Linked DNA regions of Arabidopsis thaliana. The protein of the gene in region 2 purifies or fractionates together with the protein of the main gene of each other region. This does not show direct contact. Each region holds a gene or a part of one and is shown on either strand. Other genes may lie near its edges. The genes, in order: AT1G63770 and AT3G54470.

What was found.
Region 1: the proteins of AT3G54470 (region 2) and AT1G63770 fractionate together in Arabidopsis thaliana (co-fractionation; one large-scale study listed by BioGRID). This does not show direct contact.

What each region holds. Positions count from the first base shown.
Region 1 is NC_003070.9:23,660,744-23,667,284, forward strand, and holds the start of AT1G63770 (Peptidase M1 family protein), read right to left. Parts: upstream 3,755-6,541; 5' UTR 3,501-3,754; coding exon 3,423-3,500; exon of another isoform or gene 3,121-3,422; coding exon 3,046-3,120; intron 2,963-3,045; coding exon 2,918-2,962; intron 2,812-2,917; coding exon 2,671-2,811; intron 2,584-2,670; coding exon 2,508-2,583; intron 2,363-2,507; coding exon 2,286-2,362; intron 2,137-2,285; coding exon 2,020-2,136; intron 1,942-2,019; coding exon 1,867-1,941; intron 1,784-1,866; coding exon 1,676-1,783; intron 1,589-1,675; coding exon 1,376-1,588; intron 1,288-1,375; coding exon 1,226-1,287; intron 1,101-1,225; coding exon 1,073-1,100; intron 992-1,072; coding exon 905-991; intron 823-904; coding exon 797-822; intron 624-796; coding exon 479-623; intron 394-478; coding exon 346-393; intron 257-345; coding exon 238-256; intron 96-237; coding exon 91-95; intron 1-90. Other genes in the region: IMP4 (Ribosomal RNA processing Brix domain protein), read right to left, coding at 4,302-4,400, 4,522-4,609, 4,800-4,906, 5,058-5,147, 5,247-5,390, 5,855-5,905, 5,997-6,106, 6,208-6,291 and 1 more. UniProt on the Arabidopsis thaliana protein: Aminopeptidase with broad substrate specificity for several peptides. Involved in proteolytic events essential for cell growth and viability. Plays an essential role during prophase I of meiosis.
Region 2 is NC_003074.8:20,167,448-20,173,988, forward strand, and holds AT3G54470 (uridine 5'-monophosphate synthase / UMP synthase (PYRE-F) (UMPS)), read right to left. Parts: upstream 2,874-6,541; 5' UTR 2,799-2,873; coding exon 2,010-2,798; intron 1,918-2,009; coding exon 1,834-1,917; intron 1,656-1,833; coding exon 1,573-1,655; intron 1,489-1,572; coding exon 1,401-1,488; intron 1,320-1,400; coding exon 1,065-1,319; intron 970-1,064; coding exon 838-969; 3' UTR 558-837; downstream 1-557. Other genes in the region: SKIP5 (SKP1/ASK-interacting protein 5), read right to left, coding at 3,436-3,814, 3,988-4,046, 4,956-5,034, 5,120-5,264, 5,716-5,878; RPB5E (RNA polymerase II fifth largest subunit, E), read left to right, coding at 6,226-6,510.

The DNA.
Region 1 (6,541 bases), on a different chromosome or scaffold from region 2:
AACAGAAACCAAATCATTCTGTTAGAAATAATATGTAAGGGATTGATAGAAAATGAAATTATGAATAAAAGAGTGTTTTTTAGTCCCTACCGTCACTGAGAGAGTAGGTGATGGCCAGAGATGTAAAGCAGGTTCGAACAGGTTACAAAAGCACACAAACGTTAGATTGGATCACAATGCTAAGATTAACATAATACAATGCTTTAATGGAATTCCTTCTTGTGAACAGAAACTTGCCTGTGTAGAAGTTATCCATCTGCCAGAGAGAGGAAAAGATCCATATTTAGCAACACTTTACATAACATGTACATCAACATTTCCAAGGCAAAATAAGAGATCTCTGACCTTGATGTATGAATGTGGGCGAACAGGATGTGCCATAGGACCAGCATCCTGATAAATTAGAGGACAGAGAAGTTGGCATGAGAAGATGAAAAAATCCCATGAAGAGGCCTCGAAGGAGTACAAAATAAGGTACCTGCGGAAATTGATAGATCCGAAGCTTTGAAACATCAGCAATTCGCTTTACAGTTCGGCTTCCCATGTCAGATGAAAATTCCTGGTCACGGAAGACAGTAAGTCCTTCCTTTAGACTGAGTTGGAACCAGTCACGGCATGTCACCCTGTTGTTACAAGTAGACTTTTAGTCATATATTAGGCCACACACTAAGAATGTTTCATTTATAAAATATACTGCACAGAGAAGCATCTATTTTATACCAGAAACAAAATTAGAAGATTCAATAAGAAAGATTAATCAATTGTACTAGCAAAGGGAAGGAGAGATGAGGCTGACCTGTTCCCTGTCCAATTGTGAAAGTACTGCACAAAGAGCACAATGAAAGATGAGTTTAATGAAAATTAACTGAAACGCCAGAAAATATATCAATAAACGATTACATACCTCATGACCAATAACACCCAAAATTGCAGCGTAATCTGCATCTGTTGCTGTTTCTGGAGATGCTAGGACAAGCTTGGAATTAAAAATCTGTAAAGTAGAAGCTCATGGATTACCATCAAATATAATGTTTACAAGTACATGATTTCTTATAAAGTAAGGTAGGGTTACATTCAAACTCTTGTTTTCCATGGCTCCCCTGAAAATCGAGCGAAAATCAATCAGTTTGTCTGGTATCGACAGTAAGAAAAAGAAAAATGGACAGAATATATTTGCAAAGGGATTAATTCTACAAGTGTGACAGAATCCACCATTTGGTCATACATGTTAAAATCTGGAACAGCAACAATGTTGAAGAGATCCAGGTCATACTCAAGCCCGAACACCTAGTGAAAAAAGGGTACACATAAATAAATAATCAGATTCAGTAACCTAACAAGTAACAACTACAATTTAAAAAATGCAAGTGCTTACATCCTCATCCCACTTCATGGCCGCTTTTAGGGAATACATGGCATGGGCAGTCTTTGGTAGATCTTCTGCAGGAGTCCAGATTTTCAGGGAAACCTGCCTACCAGAGCGTGTGGTAAATGTATCATCTCTGCTCACTAGCTGTCCAGCCACCAAAGCAAATAGATAGCACGGTTTCTTGAATGGATCCTCCCATAAGGCATAGTGTCGACCACCCTACATTTCCATAAACAATTATGCTTTCAGCAAAGACCAAGCCGAGAGACACTTGGCAAACAAGAAAGAAGGCATTATTTTGCTGACCTCTATATCTCCTTGAGAAATGAGGTTTCCATTGGACAATAACACAGGATAAAGTGTCTTGTCACCTTCCACACGACACGTGTACTTAGCCATTATATCAGGACGATCCTGTCATTTCATAATAAGAACACAATGTAAGAACATCAATTGTACTACCCCAACACCAGTCATCTTATCAACAAGTAATCAACCTGGTAAAATGTAATTTTGCGGAAACCTTCTGCTTCACACTGTGTGCAGAAATTCCCAGAAGACTTGTAAAGCCCCTAACAGAAGAAATTAAAAAGGTTAGAAGAAATCATTTACATCATTGAAAGTTTAAAAAGAAAGGAAAATAAGTTCACCTCAAGTGAAGTATTCTTGTGGGGGTATATCTCAGTATCAATCTCCAAAACAAAGGACTCCTCAGCTGGAAGCGAAGGAAGAGTTAGATGGCGAGAGTCCAACTGGTAATCCCCTTCCTAGCCAAAGTGAAAAGAGAGACCAAGTATCAGAGAGGAAACTGAGTTACTTATTCTTAGTCAACTGAGTTGCTTGTCTTAGAGAAAAGTCTATAAAGTGAGCCTAGAGATACAAATATTTTCCGAAAGGAAAAGTATTGAATGGATACCTTAAGAAGCTTCCCCTCAACCTTGACAGAAAGTAGCTTCAAGTCATGTCCATCCAAGACCAATGCAGCAGAAGATCCTGGCCAACATGATACTTGTTCAGATGTGATGTGAGAAAAAAAGAAGCAAAAATCCATCTTAAAGCTATGCAAACAGCTCATGCAAAAGAAAAATAAACTTGTATGTTCAGCTTAAAGAAACAGCAAAGTACTAGACTGTTGTACCTTTAACTCGAGGAGAAACCTTGATTTTAGAGCTAACAATTGTTTTCTCTTCACCTAGAGAGAAGCTCAGATCCACCTAAACAAACAAACAAAAAAGCTTCAAATAACAACAAAATGATTCTAGTCATATACTCAATTTGGAATTAAAAGAAAGCTAGCATACAGTTTCAAAGTAGTAATCAGGCTTTGTGTAGTTCTTGAGAAATATTTCTTTAGGTGCATCCATTTTGGAATCTTCAGCTTTATCCGGAACTGATTCTGTGGCAACAGAACAAATGAGCCTCCTGCTGTTTTGCTTATGTGTCTGACATATAAAACAGAATATGCATTTATTTTAACTACACAAATACAGCATTAAACTAATAACTTTTGGATTTTATCTATCATAAGGGAAGGATAGAGCAAGTTACATCAACAGAATGGGGTAGAAACCGATTCTTCCTCAAACAAATGGCCTGAAACAAAGAATTACAGCAAAGATCATTCTCTATTTACATAGCGTGGCACTTGATGATAGAAGAAACAAAGAAACACAAACCTCGGAAGTAAGAAACGGTCTGTGTTGAGTAAGTCTGTTTGCCGAACTACGAAGACAACTGCTTCTAACAGGAACCTGTAAAAGAGAAATTAACATAATTATAAACATATAAAGATGGAACAAAACAAAACAGAAGTCATAGGAACACAAGAATCAAGAACAATTTCTTATTCTTACACAAGTTCTTTCCAAGGTTTGTGTACACAACCGAATTCAAAAGTAAAACATGTAAAAACTAAACTCTCAACAAAAACATACAATTCGAACAGAACTCCATCATTTTAATTATATCATTTCTATTGTCAGAATCAATCAAAAATACAACATTCTATATCTATAACCAAAAGAAACAAAAAAAAGAGTTAAAGGGTAATCACAGGAGCACGAGAGAGCAAACCCAGAAGATTGACTCTCGCCAGAGACGAACTTCGACAAGGAATTATCAACCGAGCCATTTAAAAGAACACCCAAATTCTAAAAATCCCTAAAGCAACAATAACTCTTAACAATAAAATTAAATTAAAAACACTTCCTCCTTGTTGCGGCTAAAATCTCCAATCTATAAACCCTAGATGATAACTCTCTCTACTCACTATAAACAGAGAAGAATCAAAAGAGAAAACACAGAGCAGTAAGTTATGGACTTTTATAAAACTAATGGATAGAATTTAAAATGAAAAATATGGCCGAGAAAATTCGATATAATATTAACAAAAAACAAAAATAAAACTGGGAAGCAAGCAAATGATTAAACGAAATTAAAATTCGATTTCGCGACTTTCACAGAGATCAAATCGATCTGAGGAAGACGAAGAAGTAAATTACCGATAGATCCGATGATCAGATGAAAGAGACACAACTGAAACTATGAGACGAAACCTGGGACTGATATATATATAACAACACGATGAAAGATATTTATAATTAAAAAATAAAAATTATAGTTTAGAATTTTGACAATTTTGTGTTTATCCATTTTCCAATACCTTTTAGCACTTCGATGCTGCTCAGATAATTTTTGTTTGAATTCGTGGATAAAAATACTACTACAAAATTTTTTATTATGACTCACGCAACAGTATATGGTTGAAGATAAATACTAATTGAAGACAAGAAAGTTTTGTTTTTATAAGCTAAACGTTAAAACAAAATCATCGCAATTTTCTCTAAGGACACAAAAACTGAACAGCTCTTCCAACAGAATGATAAGTAAAACAGAATTTAGATAAAGGGTTCAAAGCTGTTCCGTTTAGTCATCATTCACCGATGAACTTGCGCTTTTTAGAGGTGTTCATGTACGGTCTTATAACCCATTCGATCTCTGCTTCATTTTGTTCCACAGTTCCTAATTTCACCTGCAAAAATAATTGCATTACACAGAAACAACATTGTTACTAAGGAACTAGAATGATTCTTTATCAAACCATTATTTTACTCGAGGAAAACAGTTTTGATTCGGTTAAGCAGAATGCGTACCTGGTAGAGCCGCAACTCAAATCGAGGACCGATTTCTTTAAGCTCGATTGATTTTGGACCTCCCTCTCCTTTATCATAGACATGATTCCTATATATATATACCCACAAGAATTTATAAAAATCTCCATCTGTTGTATTTACAGTGTTCTTACATGCTGTTTCTATGTGGATCAGATTACCAAATGCTAACATAAGCCTTAAGACCTTAGGCTTTGCATACTACAATTGATGTCACCAATTAAAATTCGTAAAATCTGATCATTGTGAGAAAATTTTACCTGAATGATATATAATCGGATTGATTAGAAAAAGTAACTATACGTTTTGCATCCAGTTTTGGAGCAGGGAAGATATGTTTTAAGATGTTTCCAACTCTTTGACCCATCTGCAAAACAAAGGGAAATCAAATTTGAAAATATGTTTACATTAGAAATGAATAAACCAGAGCGATCATTCTATGAGACACGACGAAGCTTGATGGTTTCCAATACCAAATTACAGTAAGAACGAAGTGAATTTTGGCTCTAGAGATATACCTGAGTAGTAAAGTTGTTAAAAATGAGATGAGGATATTGCTCAGGCATTTTTCCAATGGATTTCTTGTCTGAAATATCATGTCTTGTTACCTAAACAGAAGGGACTTTGGATTAAGTAAAAAGGCTAAACTAGGAGTTGAAAGAAGAAAGATTTGGATATAAAAATCAGATCCTCAAAGAGTTACTTACCACATTAAGTAATCCAAAGTATGCAGTTGGTCCAAATGGGAGATGAGAGATAATGAGACCATCAGGCACACCACGGTGCTCATGAACCAATATAACATCAGTAAAATCATGGGAACGAGCAGTTTCAATGATCTCAGAAATGACCTGCAAATTAACAGAGTGGGAAAGAAACTTAGATTACGATTCGAATGCAACATAGTTTCCGTGTTACACTTACATAGAGAGGTTTTGTGTTGAATATAAGTGTCAGTACAACTCCAGCTTAAATGATCGTTTATATTAGTCTTGCTTTTATTTGAAATCTAGATTCTGCAGAATTGGACAGACTCAACTACATTTTAAATTATAAAGCTTGATCTAATATGCAATTCATTGATATGACCAGTGTTGCGCATAAATTCAACAATAATCTGATACAAGTCTATGCACATGCAATAGTTATACCCAGGAAACAAAAGGGAGCTAATACCATTGGCAATCAATTTAACAACATCGATGAAGAAACCACAAGCAATGATCAATTGCAAAACAAAACCAGATTACAGAAAAAAAGAGAATTAGATATTTCCAAATGACTTTAAGTGCAGAAGCCAGAACAACACACATACCTGACTACCACGATTTATTCTCTGAGAGTTAGGAAACACAAACTTCAATTCCTGCAACAGAAACCACACCATCAATGAAAAGGAATCAGGAACATTATAACGTCAGCATCTATTCAACGACGGAAACTAAACAAAACAATACCTTAGTGAATCGGATGAGCGGAGCACTTGGATTCCTAGAAGTTGTCAACAAAATCTTTGGATCTGCTTCCGTAGCATTTGCATATTCATCATCGATATGACTCCGCGGAACTAGTAACAACATGATTAGATGATAACCATTAGCTGATGCCACAAACCATTCATATCACAGGTTCAAACCAATTGGAAAAATCTAGCTTCCAAATTCTTACCAGCTGTGTTTTGGTCTTCAAGATCAATTTCTTGTCGAAGCTTGGCTTCGACGTTTCGGAGCTCAGTAGGAATCGGCTTTCCTTCTGTTAAACCATATAAACCAAAATCAGAAAAACGAAAAATACACATCGAATCAATGATTGTTTCAACAGATACTGAAAAAAAAAATCATCACTAGACCTTGAAGGGCTTCTCTTATCAGCCGCTTCTGCTCATAGACCTTACGCTCATCACCTTCCAAGCTTTTCCTGTAGATATACTCTTTTTTTAACCTTACGAGTCTGCGTTGCATCGTGATTCGTCGTGAGGCTAAAACACGGATGTGGCGGATTA
Region 2 (6,541 bases):
ATAGCTACACGTGCACCGTTTTCAAAACAATGGATATGGAGATAATGTTTATATTTAAATTCACATAAATTGATCTAAACGCCGTCGTTTTACTAACATAACTACTAACAAAAAAAAACGACCCAATAGAGTAAACCCGTGTGAGACTTTGTGTAAAACAAGACCTGCCCATATTAAGCCCGTGTTTTTTTGGATTTGGAAAACAATTTGTGGGCTTGCAATTTTATCCGGGTTTTGAGTACCCAGTGGGTTTAAGCCCACATAGATTGATATAAACAATTTGTGGGCTTACAATCTTAAAAAACAATGTATTAAGATTCAAGACTAATCAAAATAGCAAGTTAGTTTTGAAGTTTTAAGCCCAATAGAATTTGAAGTTGTTTTATGATCATTTTTGAGTAAATGAAATAGCAAGTCTGTCACTTGTTACAGAAGTCTTTCTACACTTGAAATCCCTTCCTGAGTACTTGAGTATTTGGCAACATTTTCACGCACATGCCCTGTGTGTAAGCGACTGTAACTTAACCTGTAAATTAGTCTTTATATTATCTCTTCGTGTTTTGATTCATTACGTGATTTGAGTTACATTTGACAAAATGCCTCGGCCAAATCCAAAGGATCCAGAAATTGTGATCAACCGTACAAATCATATGAGATCAACTACTCGCCACGCTTCACTTTATTATTATTGAGAACTGAGAATCACTCAATCAAGTAAACAATCAACGAGACATGAGTCTTAAAATCCATCCTCACATAAATCACACAAAAACTAGCACAATCTTATAGCACTAGAACACAAAAACAAAAAATCTCAGCCATCTCTCAGGATCGAATCTACTGAGAGCATTTCTCCAAGTATGCATTCCATCCTTGAACTCTATACTCATGAGCCGTCTCTGCTGGGTTTTCCGCCTTTATGATTCCCCGTCCCACGATTATAATATCACTTCCCCTCTCAGTAATCACCTAAAATAAAATAAAAGAGCAATCAACATTATATTTCAGACTAGAATACTAACAATGGATGTAAGATAAATGTGGTAAGGTTGGGAGAGACTCACAGAGTGTGGAGTGTTATACTGCTGACCAAGTGCATCACCACCTTTCACCATTTGAACACCAGGTGTTGCATGAATCATAGACGGATACACATACCCGCATTTCCAAGATGCTGGATTCACCGAGATGAATCCCATCACAAAATCAGAATGAGCGTCTGCGATTTTCACAGCTGCTGCAGTGTAGTCTCCTGTAGCCAGGTTACCTGCAGAGCTCATTTCAGCAAGCAAAAGCAAACCTCTACCACGAGGCATACCCTGCAATCATATAGGAATGCAACAAAACATTAGAAAAACAAAAGAATCTATAATCTGGTAATAAAGAGAAATGAAAAATACCTTCAATTTCAGGCCATCCACGATTCCTGGCCCCGATATTACATGAGCGTTGATAATATCAGCCCACTCCAATATTTTAAAGATGCCTCTGCGAACAAACCAGAAAAAATTGGCACACGAAAACTCGAAAAGACTTGAATGAAAGCTAAGTGACATAATGTAGAAAAATTACCCTTCATACTGCATAGTGACAGTGTTACCAATGTCTGCAAACTTGCGATCCTCAAATATGAGAAATTTGTGCTTGTCTGCAATCTAAAGTAACAATAAACAATAGATCAATGAGTATCAAAGAGACCAATTAATCAGTAACAGACATGAGACTCATGTCTATTGCAGATATTACAATCTTCACTTACTCTATATAACTAAACCTATCAAAGAAACAGAATTTCGAAGATGTGTGAGAGCAAATTAGTACAAAAGTAATTACCGCACGGAGCTTAGAGCCAAAGTCAGGGGTGAAATCAGGCAGTATATCAACATGAGTCTTCAAGAGACAAATCTCTGGTCCCACCTGCATCAACACAAAACATTTGGAAGAAGATGTCACTAAAACATAATTCTAATGAACAGTCTTCAAACTTCGATACCAAGAATGATCCTAACCTTATCTGCGATGTCAAGCAATTCAGCAGCAGTTCCAACATCAGCAGCTAAACAAAGATTGGTTTCCTTCTTCAACATAATATCAAACAGCTTCTTCCCTGTCGGATTCTTAGAAAGCTCAGACCTTTCCTTGAACCCCAAAACCCTAGGCTTAGGCTTAGGTTTCTCCACACTTGGAACACTAACCCTACGATTCTCTTCCAAAAACTTAAGCAAATTCACTTCAACCTCCACTTCAATTTTCCCCTTTTCCTTCAAAACCCTAACCATATCCGTCAACATAATCATCGAATGTAACTTAATCCCATTCTCCGCTAGATTCTCCCTACCCCCTTGTTGCCTATCAATCAAAACCACCGCGTCACTAACCTTTAACCCCACAGCACGAAGAGGAGCAGCAGTCTCGAGAACAGAAGCACCACTAGTTACAAGATCTTCAATTATCAAACAAGTTTGATCCTTTTCGAAGATTCCTTCAATAGCTTTAGATGTTCCATAGTCTTTAATCTCCTTACGCCGCATAAGCATAGGGATACCATTGGAAACAGAGACAACAGTGGCGATAGGGAGAGCAGTGTAAGGAACACCACAGACGACGTCGAAGGTTGCAGAAGGTGGAAGAGAAGAGATGAGAGTTTGAGAGATCTGTGTTAAGAGGGATGGATAAGAGACGATGAGACGAAGGTCGATGTAAACCGGAGAAAAGATTCCAGATTTGAGCTTGAAATTGCCGAATTTCACGGCGCCGATTTCATGCAGCTGGAGAATCAGTGCTTCCATGGCTGACATTTTTTCTTCTGCTGCTTTTGGAATCGGAGAATTCGATAAGCGGACTTGGAACGACTGCACACTGGAGAGTGTTGGCTTTATATACTTTAGGTTTTGTCTTATTTTTGGTGTTTCAATGTTTTTATTTATTTTAATATGTAAAATTATTCGTATTTATCATCTTTTATGCATTCAGTTTTCGTTTTATTTTCCTAAAAAATCTACTCTGAATATGTCATTTTATTTACATTTTAGAAATACTTTTTCATTGTATAGAATATTTTTTTGTTGAAGTCATTGTCTACAACAATTGTTGCAATTTCTTTACTATAATAAAGCTGTTTTCTGTTGCATTGTTTGAAATTCTCTCTAATATTTTTTGAGAGAAAAAAATCTCTAATATTTTGATAACAGTGAAGAAAGAAACCATTTATCACAAAAGATACACTAAGCAGAAATTATAAAAATCCAATTGAAATGAATTCGGCAATTCGTCCTAAAAAGGACATTATTTCTGAACATAATAAGCATACAACAAAGGACCTGTCTGGTCTTAAGGGGAAACACAAAGTACAAATGAAGATGGATCATTTCCCATCATCACACAGATTACTAATGTTACAGACAGAAGAAGAAAAATAAATAAAACCAGCAAAAATCATTCATAATCTACATCAAACCAGAAATAGAGGTAAGCCTTGGAATACATGACTCGAACACGCTGCAGAACCAAGTCTCCCCTTGTTGAAACAGCCTTTGCACCTCCCTCGATTCTTGTCTGCAAAACGGTTACACTGTTTGCTTTAATCTTTCCAGTAACAGTTTCTTTCACTTCCACATGGCTTAAGATATTTTCAATGTCTTCATCTCCAGCAGTGCTCACGATTGGGCATGAGAGATGATCCAAAGGGTTTGTCTCACATTGAAGCACACATCCATCAATCGTTAGCCTTCCACTCCTATGAAGCAAACAGCACCCGAGCTCTGCTTTTACTGTTAAATTCGCAAGCTTGCAGGTTGATAACAGTTCCAGGGCACTGCACAATAAACCCAACAACAAAAAGCCGTATACCAAAGTATTTTCCTTTTCTTTAAACATCAATGGGAAATGCGGTATTCAACAACTTTTAAGAAGCTAAAACCTCCCAGAAAGAATTTTGAAAACAACTGTAGAGAGGAAATGTCTTAAGAGGGAATATGAGTTCCAAACCTGTCTGAACCACGAGCACAGACGAGGGTGGTTTCATCAGGAATCTCGCCTCCACCGACCTGAACAAAGCGAAGATAATATAAAACTGAGACTACTATCGAACATTGAGACTTATGTATCAACATCATCCTCAAGGCATCTACTTTCAATAGCTTAGGAACTCCTTTCAACCTCAAGGCGTACATTCTTCCACTTAACTGAAACTAGGGACACTGATAAGCCAACCCCTAATCTACACTGAGGTATTCTAGGGGTGTGCATCCATACATTCATGATAAATCACTCATATTTCTGCAACTCTATCTTTTCATCCTAATTCATACACCAAGGTCTACTTTCAATAGTTTTCATTACAGCTTACAGTCATTCCATGTGTTGCCCAGTATGAGAAAAGGAACATTACTGATAGGTAGGTGGCAAGTGCATAAAAGACTTTGAAGTCGAACTGAATTCTTTTTTTCGAGTTCTCACGACAGTCAAAGAAAATTTTAGTCATCAAGTTCTAGTTCTTTAACACTCGTTAAAACGTCCATGTCACAAACAGCTCGTGCTTAGTTTCCAGTTGTGGCATTGAAAGTAATTGTGTGCAAGCTTAAGATATCTTTCATTTCTATTTTGGTACCTAAGACGTGGCATTGTTTTCTCTGGATCTCTTCAATGCATACTGATCTCAGATGCCGAGACCTATGGCATGGAATGGAATCTCCATCCTCATGAGAATAGATATGTTACCATATGTTCACATGTTTCTTGGATACTACACAGATGTTGGTATAAATGGTTTATACTAAGTCCTATAAATTATTTTTCACTACTTGCGATTTTTGAAGTCTAATTTTTTTTGGCAAGACTCAAGAAACATGTGAAAGTAGACCAATTTCACATTGCCATTTCTAGAGAAAGTTATAAACGATTCTTTCAGAAATATCAAGCAATTACACTAGACATATATTCTTTGAAAGACATACCAGGCAAAGAGGCTTTTTAATCTGAATATTAGAAACGCGATAGTTCCCACCGGCTACTATTAAAATGGTATCGCCGGGTCTAGAGGTGACAATTTGGTTAGATTTATGGACCCTTTTACGAATAACAAAGAAGTGTAAATAACGTAACTGATAATATTACAAACCTTGCTGCAGATACAGCTGACTCAATGTTGAGGAAAACTCCAGGCTGAGATAAATCCTTGACAAAACGGTCAACACGGAGCCACAAGCGAGGGTGACACGCCAGATATCTCCATCTGTGGCAAACGAGTGCTGTGTTATACCTATCTGCAAACTCACAAGAGATACACAAAACAGCATTGAAACAGACTGTAGTACGCAACAAATGCCCAAGTCAATCATACAAACAAAATACGAAATTTTCAAAGCTTCACACAACACCATACAGATCAAAACATAGCAATTCAATACAAAGTCAAAAGCTTTCTTGCTGATTCTGTTACATTACTACAAAGCTGTATCACATACACACCAAGTCAAGAGAAACAGATAATTCATCATGGAGATTAGAATTGAATTCAATTATGATTTGATTAGGATCTGCAAAGTCTCAAAGTAGTAAATTTGAGACACAGAACCGTCATTAAGATGTGAAACAGTTGGTCAAATTTTCTAAATGAATTACAAACAACGAAACAATTAAAAGCAGAATTGAACAAAGAAGTATAAAAGTATGAGAAAACCAAAGTAATAGATGCGAAAAAGAAACCAATTTTACCTGGAATTGGAGATAGGAAGCTGAGGATATGCATAAGGCAACCATCGTCGAGATTGTTAAGAGACGTGAGAGAATAAGGTTTCATTCTCTTCTTCATCTTCGATTCAACAATTCTCTCTGGATGCTTCTTATTGTCGAGCTTTGAGATCTCATGTAACTCCATGGCCGCTTTAGGAAGTATGAACCCTAACTCGTCGCCGTCGTTAATAACAGCCGACTCAACTATCCATTGACGTCATCTCGACATTGGTTATGTCCGGTCCAACAAAAACATGTCTTTATGACATTATGGTTATGCTTTTTTGGAGTTTTCTTAAAAGTAAAATTGAATAAAAAAGAGAGGAATCGTAACCGTTGGTTGATTAATGCAATGGACAGTCCAGATGTATTTTAGTAAGGGGCCAGCCGAGAAGTCTCAAGCACAAACAACACTCTCTCTTGTGACAAAACAAACTCATAAAACCTTTCTCTCTTCCAACAGCAAAACTCTGAAATTGACAGAGGAGAAAAATGGAGGAGACAATGGCCGAAGAAGGGTGCTGTGAAAATGTTGAGTCGACGTTTGACGACGGTACCAACTGTATTTCGAAGACTGAGGACACCGGAGGAATCGAAAGCAAGAGGTTTTACTTGGCTCGCACGACAGCTTTTGAGATGCTTCGCGATAGAGGCTACGAAGTTAATGAAGCTGAGCTCTCTCTCACTCTTTCTGAGTTTCGTTCTGTTTTTGGTGAGAAGCCTGAGCTTGAACGCCTCCGTATCTGCGTTCCTCTTCGCTCAGATCCCAAGAAAAAGGTTTCAGCTTTTCTTTGTTCCACCGCTATTT